Danio rerio: one gene and its partners. Each later gene encodes a partner of the first gene's protein in a complex. Links are inferred from orthologs where the notes say so. Each region holds a gene or a part of one and is shown on either strand. Other genes may lie near its edges. The genes, in order: ercc2, polr2j and ciao1.

Region 1 (4,112 bases):
GGCTGATTTGGGTTACTCTGATGCTGCGCTCGAATATACGATGCTGTCAGACTGTGACATTTTCCATCTACTTCTTTTCCAAAACGCAGAGAGCTCACCTGTAGTCACACATTCAGTACTTTTTAATAAGATCACAGCACAGATTTTACTGAAATCACAGACAAATCTGCCCATTCAGCGGCCTCTACCTCAGGATGAATGCACAGGTTTTTCCTCGAGGAAAGTGCAAGGGCGAGGAAGTCGTTTTTTACTCCCGTTTGCTTTGAGTAATAATCCATCAGTTTCCTTAGCTCCTCCACAACCTGCAGGTAAATGAAAGATGCATAAAATAAAAATTAACATACGACATGTGTATTTAGAAAGCAAAAAAAAATGTATAAAAGGTAATAAACATCTATATCAAGTCAGTCAACAAAATACCTTCTCTATCTCAGGCACCGTGCGAGAGCAGTACACGAGCTTGGTGACTTCTAAAGGGTAAGTCTGTAAGAGATTAAACATTATATATATATATATATATATATATATATATATATATATATATATATATATATATATATATATATATATATATATATATATAATTATATATATAAATCAGGGATATTTTTAAAGCCATCAGACTGTCATTTAATAAAGTATTCAAATATTTAATCGTCGATCAAAATCCGTCACCTTCTGGTAAGCAACGATGAGCGAAAGAAGAGAAATAGTTTTTCCTGTTCCTGAGGGCATCTCCAGAACTCCATGACCCTTTACACACATAATAAAAACAAAATATGAAACAACTATACATAAGACAAACAATTTTTTTTTGTTTTTTATTGCTTTTTACTTTCACTCAGTCATGGCTCTGTTTAACATAAACATCCCATCCAACATCTCAGATAATGCGAGATTACAAAAAATGCATTCATAATCAGACTAAAAATGATGTGGTGAACTTTATTATTCCCACCAGGGGCAATTAAATTAGGGCAGTAGCATCATGATAACCTATAAATCCACACATTTGGTCTTTCTCCCTAATAATATACATTTCAGAAAAATATTCTTTGCAAATTCATATTTATAGGGAAACCATAATAGCATCCAATGACTTTTAAAGTACAACACTGTTCACTGTACAAAAAAGATTGTTTTGAAGTCATACTTACATAGGATTTTAGACCAAATATTCAAAGTACCATGGTAAAAAATAAAGGGAGGATGTCACGGAACGATTATGCGAATATAAAACCAACTTTACCTCAATAAAAATATTAGAGTAAAGCTGGTTTTATATTCACACATTCAGTCTTTCTCTCTAAAAATATTTTCAGAAAATTTTTCGGTCCCACTTTATATTAAGTGGCCTTTACTAACATGAACTTACACTGAAATTGAATCATTCGTTACACTTTACTTAATGAGTAAATATATGATTTTACATTGTACTTATGCTTGATTAAATATCTGCATGTAATTACATCTGTAATTAAATTCTGTAAGTACATTTATAATTACACTTTTTACCTGAACCAACTCTTAAACCAGCAAACCTTAAGACCACATTTCACTATACAAAAAAAGATTGCTAATGTTGTTTTGAAGTCATACTTACCTAGGATTGCAGACCAAATATTCAAAGTACCATGGTAAACAAAAAGGGAGCATGTCACTGAACAAATGTGTGAGTATAAAACCAACTTTATCTCAATTAAAACAGTAAAGTTGGTTTTATACCCACACATTCAGTCTTTTTCCCTAATATCATATTTTTAGAAAAATATTTTAGCAAACTCTAAATAGGGAAATCTTATTACCATGACTATCAAAGTACAACATTGTTCACTGCCTAAAAACATATAGCTAATGTTGTTTTGAAGTCATACTTTAATAGGATTTCACTCTGAATATTCAAATTACCATGGTAAACAATAAAGGGAGCATGTCACTGAACGAATGTGCTAATATAAAACCAACTTTACCTCAATTGTAAAAATAACGCTGTAAGAAGGAACAAAAAATACACTTTAAATTAGTTGTGTATCAACTATAGATGCATCTTTTGGCCTATGTCAAAACATCCAGCCACAATGTTAATATAGATCACTTCAATGTGGTGATATCTTTGGCCCATGAACATTTTCTGCTTGTTTCAAACTATTTCATAACTGTAACATGAGACAATTAAATCATAATTTAATGTTAAAACCGCTATCATGACATTATTTTACAATATATGGCTCTTTTTAAAATCTCAGAAAGTATGGACATTACAAATGGAAAACATGAAATACATTGAGACCATTGTTTTGGTTTACATCCCTGAAAATGGTCTATGTTGTTACATGATACAACATTAGTTTAATGTATGAGTGTCTGTGTATAAATACCTTTGCATCCAGCGTCCTCTTCAGCTCAAGCATATACGAGTATTGTTCGGGATAGATGTAGTCATACGGAAAGTAGACTAATAACCCGTCGATATTCAGCCTAATAGGATCAAATAGACATTAACGTTAGAGGAAAAACAAAACTTGTGTTAAATGAACAGCGGTTTGGGCCATTACCAGTCTGCAGATTTGCAGCAATGCTAACGTTAACAGTTAAAATTTACCGTTTACTTACTTCATGTTTGCTGGTATTGTTTCTCTGCAGCACTTAAGTGTTTCTCGTATTCAGTTTTGTATGTTTCCACACATTAATATAACTGTCATGAACGCATTACACAAAAAGACTTCTATCGAGGTACACAAGCGATCTCGGTAGCGTAAAACGCTGTCGCAGTGAAAGTGCGTAATCTATTTTGCTTAATTGATTGGTTGTTCGCTTCAAAGCCCGCCTTATCCTGTCAGCTCATTGGATGACACGCACGTCATGTCAATCCCTTGACGGAAGTACATTTGTCACCATTGGGGTTAATCAAAAAATATATATATAGAAAAGAAGTCCGCACTAAACTTTCGCTAAAATTGTGTAGGTTGTAATTTTCTTCACTACAAATATGACTGATTTTTTAAAACAAACAACAGTATTTTTTTCATGAAAAGTAAAATTTGATCAATTAAAAATATAGCCTATCACAGATTACACTAAATTATACTGTATTTTAAATAAACAAAGAAAAAAGAATGAAAAAAGCTAAGAAAAACGAAAAGCAGGTACAATTAGAGTGCATTGTAAACAAACAAGAAAAAAATAAAAACAAACAGAAAAGAGAAAAGCAAGTAGAGTACACTTAACTTACATTCATTCATTTTCCTTCAGCTTAGTCCCTTTATTCATCAGAGGTTGCTAAAGCGGAATGAATTAAAGATCTGAACTTCCCATCACTACTGTGTGTCTAACCTTAGAGGCAGCCATGCACACGATTTTACTTAAGGCTATCTTGTGGGCTGTTGTATTTGAATTTGAAGATGAGTAGGTGGTAGTGGTAGATGATAGTGGTCATGTGTCCTGTGAAAACATGTTTCAAAAAATTATTGTTGAGTTTTTATTTTACAATATTTATTGTATTTTGTACAATATTTATTGATTTTGAATCTTGTACATAGCAAATATCCCAATGTGCAAAAATAAATAAATAAATAAACAAAACTAAGCAACTATAAAATATGGAAACTAATAAAAACTAGTAAATCTACCTCTAAAAACTAATTAAAACTGATTTTGAAAACAAAAAGTCAAAACAAAATAAAAACTAAAACCAATAAAAAATCCAAAACTATAATAACCTTGCTGTGGAGGAAACCCACGCGAACAAGAGAAGAACATGCAAATTCCACACAGAAATGCCAACTGACCCAGCTGTGCTTCGAACCAGCGACCTTCTTGCTGTGAGGCGACAATGCTAACCACTGAGCCACTACTACTAAGCCCCCCTTCTAAAATGACATTTTTTAATACATATGAGGGGAAAAAAGAGAAAGAACCAAAGAAATGAGAACATTTTTCATTATTAATACAGGGGCATATTTTATATAATATATTTTATTTACATAAACATTTTTAAATCATATATTACAATGCAATAAAATATACAGTATTTCACCCTAACAAAGATTCATCTTCATGAAGTGATTTCCTTCGTACTCATAGGCCGGGTAAAGACCACAGTTTAGACATAT
Region 2 (4,271 bases), on another chromosome or scaffold:
TTATGTTGTTAAATTGAAGAAAAAAAAAAAAAAAAAACACTGGGTGTGTTTATATCACCCCAATATGACGGTGTATACACTTTACTTACACACGTCTTTCCAAACAGCTTGAAAAGTAGATTTGTTACCATAGGTGCCCTTTAAAACAACATTAGCACCATTTAACTGATCATGAACAATGTTGCATTTTGAAAGCCATTGGACGCTGATATGATTTCCCTATTTAGAATTTGCAAATAATACTTTTCTGAAATTATAATATTAAGTAGAACGTCTGAATGTGTGAATACAAAACCAACTTTACCTCAATTGTCTTTTGCAGTGCTGCTATAGAGTGCATTTTTTTCAGGAGCGCTTGTTCTGGAATCATTTTTTACTCAATGCAAACACATGAACATACCCTAAATCGCTCCTCCAGCAGGGACAGCTCACTGATCAGATCCGTGATGGCATTAGTGAAGGCTTCCTGAGGACTGTAGTCTGGTGTCGTCTGAACGCGGATCACAACCTTATGCTCCAGAGGATGAGGAACCTTATATCCAGCAAACAGCACCTGGGGGTCCTTCAGCAACTGCCTAATGAGCAATTCCAATGTTACAAATGTGACATTTGCAGTAAGATCTCAAAACACATTCACAGAGAAAGTATGTGTTAACATTATACTGAAACATCTGTTTATATTTTCCAAAACAACTAACCACAGAGTTAAAACCTAATCTTTTTCATGACAAGGTTGACATTTGCATGGAATTGCTCTAATGTAAATATAGGATGATTACAAAACCCACATAAATATCTGAAAATGTTTTAGTGTATCAAAAGTTTGGTCTCTTACGATCGGATGATGTTTCCCAGTGTGTGATCCTCTTTATTTAGAGTAAACAGACATGCATTCGGCACCTTGGTGTCTTTGGTTATTGTGATCCTGTAAAAAGAAGTTGAACAGAAATTTTAGGCAATCCCTTACTTTTAAAAATAGTAATGTTTTGGTACAGAGTATATACAGGAACCAGAGAGTGAATTTCAATACCTTTAAGACTCTCTCCATACAAGACCTTAAGACCTTATTATCACTTAAGATTTCAATCGGAAACAATAAAGAGATTTTAACTTACAGTATATTTATTAAATATTAATGTAAAAAACTTACATATTGATATACATAATTATATTGAATTAAAATCTATTAAATATAGCTAATTCAGCAGGTTGGTGCCTATAGAACTGCAGAAATAATGGTTTTTCCTTGATAACTGCAGTAAACAAAACTGCATGATGTCAAATCTAGCAGGATTTCATTGATTTCATAAACTACACAGCATCCTGACATTTAGATTTAATTCAGGCAAACTTTAGCATACAACCATACCTACATTGCACAATCAAAATTATATAAAATTTAACACCTTGCAAAATAGCATTTAGGATTTTAAAATACTTTTTAAGGGCCTTACATTTCTCTACATTGATTAATCAACTTTTAATAGTTCTTAAGACCCCGCAGACCCTGTGGTATCATGGTACAATGTTGGCAGTAATATGTCACTTTGTTAAGTAGATCAGAGATGAAAAATGTTTTTCTAGGTAAATATACAAAATATAATAAGCTTTATCATCATATTTATCATCTTTTTATCCTACTATAATTTTAACCCTTATTAAGAGAAGATGCTCACTTAAATGTCATTCAGTGCAAAAATATTTTTTTATGCCAAAAAGTATTGTCAAGCATTGAGGTAAAGTTGGTTTTATATTCAGACATTTGGTAATTTTTGAACAGTGAAACCTTGTAACACTGTGCATATATTGTTTATCACACTGCTTTGAATATTCAGTCTAAAATAGCCTGCAAATATGACTTCTCAAAAACATAAGTACTATTTACCTGACTGAACAATGTTGTACTTTGATAGTCATTGGCTGCTAATGATTTCTCTATTCAGAATTTGCAAATAAAACTTTTCTGAAATTATATTAAGGAGAAAGTCCAAATGTGCGAATACAAAACCAATTTTACTTAAATTTGTCAAGCATATCTGTCAGAAAGAGGCATTTACAAGGCAAAACAATTTAGTTTAAGCACTTACTACTGCATATTTTAATCAATGTAGATTACAATAAAGGTTTACTTTTTAAAAAATATATTCATATTTATATGGAAGGTTATTTTACTAATATTTTTGACAATCTTATTTTTATAGTTAAAAGTTATTTAAAACATTAAAGCACACCTTATTTGCATAAATTTTATATGTTAACGTTACGTATTACCTCTGTTATTTAATTTGATGCTGAGACCAATTACTGTACATGTACTATGGTATTTACATGGTATTCAAAAAATGTCATGGTATCATGACCTAAAGTACGTCTAAAAACGAATACTTTTATTTAGATTCACAAGGTCACTTAACCAACTTAAACTTAATTGAGCTAAATGTTGGTATTACATGTCTTATTCAAACAGCTTAGCATCTGAAATTGTATTCGTTTATACAAAAATAATGAACAATAAACTTAAATAGTGAATGAATCAATCGTCGATATGATTTAAGCTGTATTGTATAAAGCACTCTGTAAACAGAAGTAGGTTGTATTTTGTTTTCAGATGGACTGACTAACGTAACCTGTCGTTAGCCAACAAGCTAAAGCCTTTTGAATCTCCCTCCTGTCTTCCAACTGAATATTTACTCTTATTATAGGCTAGTATAATATGTTAGTATAATTGAATAGCAAAGACAGCTTTATAGTGCACTTACTTCTTTTCTCCCTCAAACAGCAAAAAAGACTCGAATGCTGGTGGCGCGTTCATCCTGCTTCAAAACCAGCAGCGAACGATGCTACTAATGGACGCACGTTGTACTGCGCATGCGCATGACATGGGAAGACATGGGAAAAAGGGTAATATTGAGTGAATAACGACCGGGGGCAGTATTGTGTCGTAGTCTGGTCGTAGTATTTTCAACACAACGACAGAGTTAAGAGGTACCTTTATTATGAGTCTTTTAATACACTTTGGGTCAAAATGGTTGGATTATATATCTAATTTTGACCATCGCTTGTAAAAGTTGAGTATGGTGATTAGCATGGGAGTAATTATTGACCATTCCACCGAATGGATGCATTTTGCTTATTGTAACTCTTTACAATTAAACTTCTTTTAATTACTTTTCAAGGCGGAATCTAATAACACACATACTTAACTTTTCAAAATATGTATTGGTCCACATAAAATGACTTAATTTGAGTTTTTACAAGGTATTATGTGGCAGATGAATGCATTTTTCAGTCATATTACCCAAACTAACGAGTCTTTTAAAAAGCATGAATAAAAGTCTATCAGGTAATTACTTTGTTTTCCTCTTAAGAAAGTGATTTTCTTTTTAAAATATGGTTTGTTACACTTTCAAACATTTGATTTTTGTATTTAAAAAATCACGATTTACATAAAAAAATGTATTTTTATAGGAATGCAAAGGCACTTTCCCTTTTTTCAAGAAAACTGTGGCCTGAAATTCATGTTTTTTATAACATAATTTACTTAACATTTAAGTATATGATGTACAGAACTTAACTGAGTAAATTGTAGGGAAAAAAAGTTTTCACAAGAAAACCAAATCAGTAAGTGAAAAGAGAGAGAGAGAGTGTGTGTGTGTGTGTGTGTGTGTGTGTGTGTGTCATGTAGTGGAACTGTCATTTCTGAGAAAACTATTCCTTTAAATATCTTACAACTTCAACATTTCCATCCATAACGTGTGGAAATCAGATGAATAATATAATAAAAACTGTTCATTCTATTAAGTATCAGAAGATGCTTTTCATTATTGTTACTCATTCCTGTAACTCTTATAAGTAACAGGACTGAAAGTAACAGGACTGAATTTCTAGCATAATATTTGCATGTAAATGAAATTGAGCCACACGCTGTACATGCTAATAGCTCAAAGAAACTTATCAAACTCCCTCAACTTAACAAATATCAGAAATTTTGCACTGAACAAATTACCTCTATGAAGTAATTTAGGTAACAAGATAGTATTTTTAAAATGACATTTCCAGTTTTCATTGCAATATCCGCAAATATGTAAAAAAATAAATAAAAATAAAACAAGATATATTATCTTTGCTCTTTCAATGGCCTTTCAAAGATCCAAATGATGCAACTTACTGTTTAACAACTATTTAATGGATATTATTTAATGGATATATAATTTCCTTTTATCTAAGTATAGAATTTTTTAAATAAATGTATTTGAAGCAAATATTCTAAT
Region 3 (3,524 bases), on another chromosome or scaffold:
CAATCACAGAGCTTGCGCTACGCGTTGTTGCGACGTGTAGTTACATTTTTTGAGAGGTGCACGTCAGTGACGGCGACGTCCACGGCGAAGGGCTATGCGTCAGCGCCGTAGCATACGCCGGTGTTTGACGCAGAAGTATAAATCAGCCTTAACTCTGAGTTGATCTACTCAAAGTTGATTGACCCAACTCAGATCAGCTATTCTGAAACCTCTTTAATCTCTCTGCGGTTACCCATACTAGTGGATGCTGCTCTCTCATTGGCTGAAGGTGATCGCCAATGTTATTTTCAATCAGAACACATTTCCCACGGCATGATTTGAATTACCGACAGCGCCAGATATTAAGCATGCCAAATATCTCACGGATGACTCATCGGCAATTCTCTCATATTGCGCCCTTGATAGTTCACACTGTGTGATTGTCACTCATGTGAAAGAGCACCGATTTACCTGCGATTTCAGGCATTTTTCGGCAACTAAAATCATGCAGTCTGAACTCGCCATAACACACACACTCAGTCTTACTAGTTAAAATTGATAATTTTTCTGGATTTGAACATTCTTTAAAACATTTGGGACAATGTAAGTACATAAGTCAGCAAAATATACAGCATTAAAAATGATAATTCACTTGAAAAAGGAGCTGCTTTTGATCTTTAGCAGGCTTTATTTAAGTAAAGCCCTGAAGGCATTTTAAGCTACAGACAAAACTGAAGTATATCAATATGGTTAAGAAATTGTGACCCATCAAAAAGTCTAACAGATAAATTCGATTTTAATAAAAAGTGTATTGTCTTTTTGACCAGTGCTGTCATCAACGCACAATTGCAGTACTCAAAGTGAGAATAAAACAGCTATTGTTCCACATTATGACCAGTTTACAGGGGAAGTTCACCCAAAAATTAGCATTCTGCCATCATTTACTTATTCCAAACCTGTTTGAGATTCTTTCTTCCGTTAAACACAAAAGAAGATATTTTGAAGAATGCTGAAAACCTGTAACCATTGACTTCCATAGTATATGTTTTTCCTATTATGGTTGTCAAGGGCTACAGTTTTTGTAAGCTTTCATCAAAATATCTGCTTTTGTGTTCAACAGACGAAAGAGAATAAAGACCAAGTAAAGGGTGAGTAAATTACAGACCTCACATTTTTGGGTGAACTACCACTGATTCAGTGCTTTCGGTCTACTTGAGCGTCATTCACCGGCTCAGGCAGAGTTGTATTTCCAGATGGCGAACTCTCCATTGTCGCTGCATGTGGCCAGAAGTCCTGCTTCTTTCGGGTTCCAGGACACGCAGTTGACGTCCTGATTGTGGGCTTTGGGCACGTGGGCTGACAGGGCGAAGATGGGCTGCTCTGGGTCAGCAGTGGGGTCTTCACTGAACACACGCACTCCATCATCACCACATGCGGTGGCTAAAGCACCGGTCAGACGACACCTGAAATCGGGAGAACCACAAAGTAAAACAATTAGTGCTCGGGAAAAATTAATCACATCCAAAATAAAAAGTTTGTTTTGACAATTTAGGTGTATTTACGGTGTGTGTATATATATATATATATATATATATATATATATATATATATATATATATATATATATATATATATATTTTTTTTTTTTTTTTTTTTACTAATTCCTTCCATTAAACACAAATTTAGAAAAAAAAATATATATATAGGACGGCTAATTATTCAGTATATACAAATTCGATAACCACAGAAACCCTGTAGCCATTTCTGCTCCTATATATACTGCACATCTTACCATGCAATATCATATATTGTTCTCCCATGGAATCCAGACAAGGTGCATATACACTTCCAGGACTCATCCGAAGAACCTAACAGAAACATAAAAGCAGAATTCTTAGATTTATATTGTCGACTTGACCGGATGCGACCGGCTGACCGGATGTGATGTATTCCAGTGTTGTACAAGCTGGTCAGAGCGCGCGAGAAGAGAAACAGGACTTTATTTGGTTATTTTTTGAATCATAAAAAGTCTATTAAAAAAAAAACTGTTCATAAACGCAAGTAAGAAAGTAATAAAAATAAATTTTTTAATGTTGTCTCCACATTCCCTCCAATATTTGTAGCGGTCTTTGAGTTTCTAGTATTCATTCCTTCATTAAACCATGTAAATGCACAGAGAATAAAGGTTCTTGCTTTCACGCTCCTTTATTTCGGACACTGCCAGAACAGCTCCTCTCCCAATGGTGCATGACAACACTGAAAATACTGTGCGACTGCCACAAGGGGGCGTATTCTGACAGTCGTGTCCAAATGTCGTGTGCAGTGGAAAGGCGGCTAAACGAAATATTAAATAAGAAATCAGTGGGCGTGGCTTGTTTTTCTTCTGAGAGCTGATTGGATGTAGTGAAGTCGGCATTTCATTCAGAGAGCCGTCTTTCGGATGAGACGTTAAACCGAGGCCCTGACTCTCTTTGGTCATTAAAAATCCCATGGCACGTCTCGTAAAGAGTAGGGGTGTAACCCTGGTGTCCGGGCCAAAGTCCCTCTATCTGCCCTTACAATCATGGCCTCCCAATCTTCCCTTTCCACTGAATTGGCTGTATCACTGTCTCTCCGCTTCTCCAATAGCTGGTGTGTAGTGAGCGCACTGGCGCTGTTGTCCTGTGGCTGCCGTCGCATCATCCAAGTGAATGCTGCACACTGGTGGTGGTGTGGAGAGACCCCCCCCCGCCTCATGATTGTGAAGCGCTTTGGATGTAGGCCATACACAATAAATGCGCTATATAAATACACATTACATTACAAGAAAGATGGGGAAAGGGTTTGGAGACAGTTATTACAACAGACTCATCCTCCTCACCAATTCAGTTTGTTGTCAAAACTGACAGCTGGAGGGGCGTGGTTAAGTATGTTAGCCACACCCAAAACCTCAGACAGGCCTAATCTAAGAATTTAACCGAAAACAAACAGGAAGGGAATTTTCAGATTTTAAATTTAGATTAGAAGGGCAAACTTTTTTTTTTTAATGACATGCACAAATGAATTTATACAAAACTAGCAAAGTGAGCTAACAAAATCAATACGGTTAGATTTGATTTCACGGAGACTTTAAGATTAACTATGCAAAACTGTATCTAAAACTCCTCACCATCTCCAGTTGTCGACTCTTTCCAGATCTTTACGGTTCGATCGTCGCTACAAGAAGCCAATCTCCGTCCCTCAGGGTCAAAGGTCAAACTCCAGACAGTGGATTCATGTCCTTCTAGCGTGGCTCTGCATTCCCAGTCATCATCTTCCTCTTTATAAATACAGATCTTGTTGTCGTAACTGGCTGATGCGAGAAGCTGCAAAAGTATCAGAAAAAACACAGGTCAGTGTTGACAATTGGTGAATTTTTTTCCTCGCTGCTGTCGCCACTAGCTTGCATGGTATCTGTAGAGCTGCGCACTGATGGATTTGCTTTTCACTGTTTGGATTCTCAGTAGTGATAATTAAACCACACTGAACTGAGCTAAACTGAACTTTAACATTGAAAACTAAAACTA

What was found.
Region 2: ercc2 (region 1) and polr2j share a complex: the UniProt entries of both Homo sapiens proteins name them as parts of the TBP-based Pol II pre-initiation complex. The link is inferred for Danio rerio from reciprocal best matches to the Homo sapiens genes ERCC2 and POLR2J.
Region 3: ercc2 (region 1) and ciao1 share a complex: the UniProt entries of both Homo sapiens proteins name them as parts of the MMXD complex. The link is inferred for Danio rerio from reciprocal best matches to the Homo sapiens genes ERCC2 and CIAO1.

What each region holds. Positions count from the first base shown.
Region 1 is NC_133190.1:26,156,356-26,160,467, forward strand, and holds the start of ercc2 (general transcription and DNA repair factor IIH helicase subunit XPD), read right to left. Parts: upstream 2,806-4,112; 5' UTR 2,619-2,805; coding exon 2,614-2,618; intron 2,479-2,613; coding exon 2,379-2,478; intron 754-2,378; coding exon 676-753; intron 484-675; coding exon 421-483; intron 303-420; coding exon 189-302; intron 99-188; coding exon 1-98. UniProt on the Homo sapiens protein: ATP-dependent 5'-3' DNA helicase. Component of the general transcription and DNA repair factor IIH (TFIIH) core complex, not absolutely essential for minimal transcription in vitro.
Region 2 is NC_133180.1:67,353,793-67,358,063, reverse strand, and holds the start of polr2j (DNA-directed RNA polymerase II subunit RPB11-a), read right to left. Parts: upstream 2,849-4,271; 5' UTR 2,813-2,848; coding exon 2,760-2,812; intron 926-2,759; coding exon 836-925; intron 576-835; coding exon 401-575; exon of another isoform or gene 1-400. UniProt on the Homo sapiens protein: Core component of RNA polymerase II (Pol II), a DNA-dependent RNA polymerase which synthesizes mRNA precursors and many functional non-coding RNAs using the four ribonucleoside triphosphates as substrates.
Region 3 is NC_133183.1:6,290,927-6,294,450, forward strand, and holds the end of ciao1 (probable cytosolic iron-sulfur protein assembly protein ciao1), read right to left. Parts: intron 3,324-3,524; coding exon 3,128-3,323; intron 1,848-3,127; coding exon 1,772-1,847; intron 1,443-1,771; coding exon 1,211-1,442; 3' UTR 522-1,210; downstream 1-521. UniProt on the Homo sapiens protein: Key component of the cytosolic iron-sulfur protein assembly (CIA) complex, a multiprotein complex that mediates the incorporation of iron-sulfur cluster into extramitochondrial Fe/S proteins.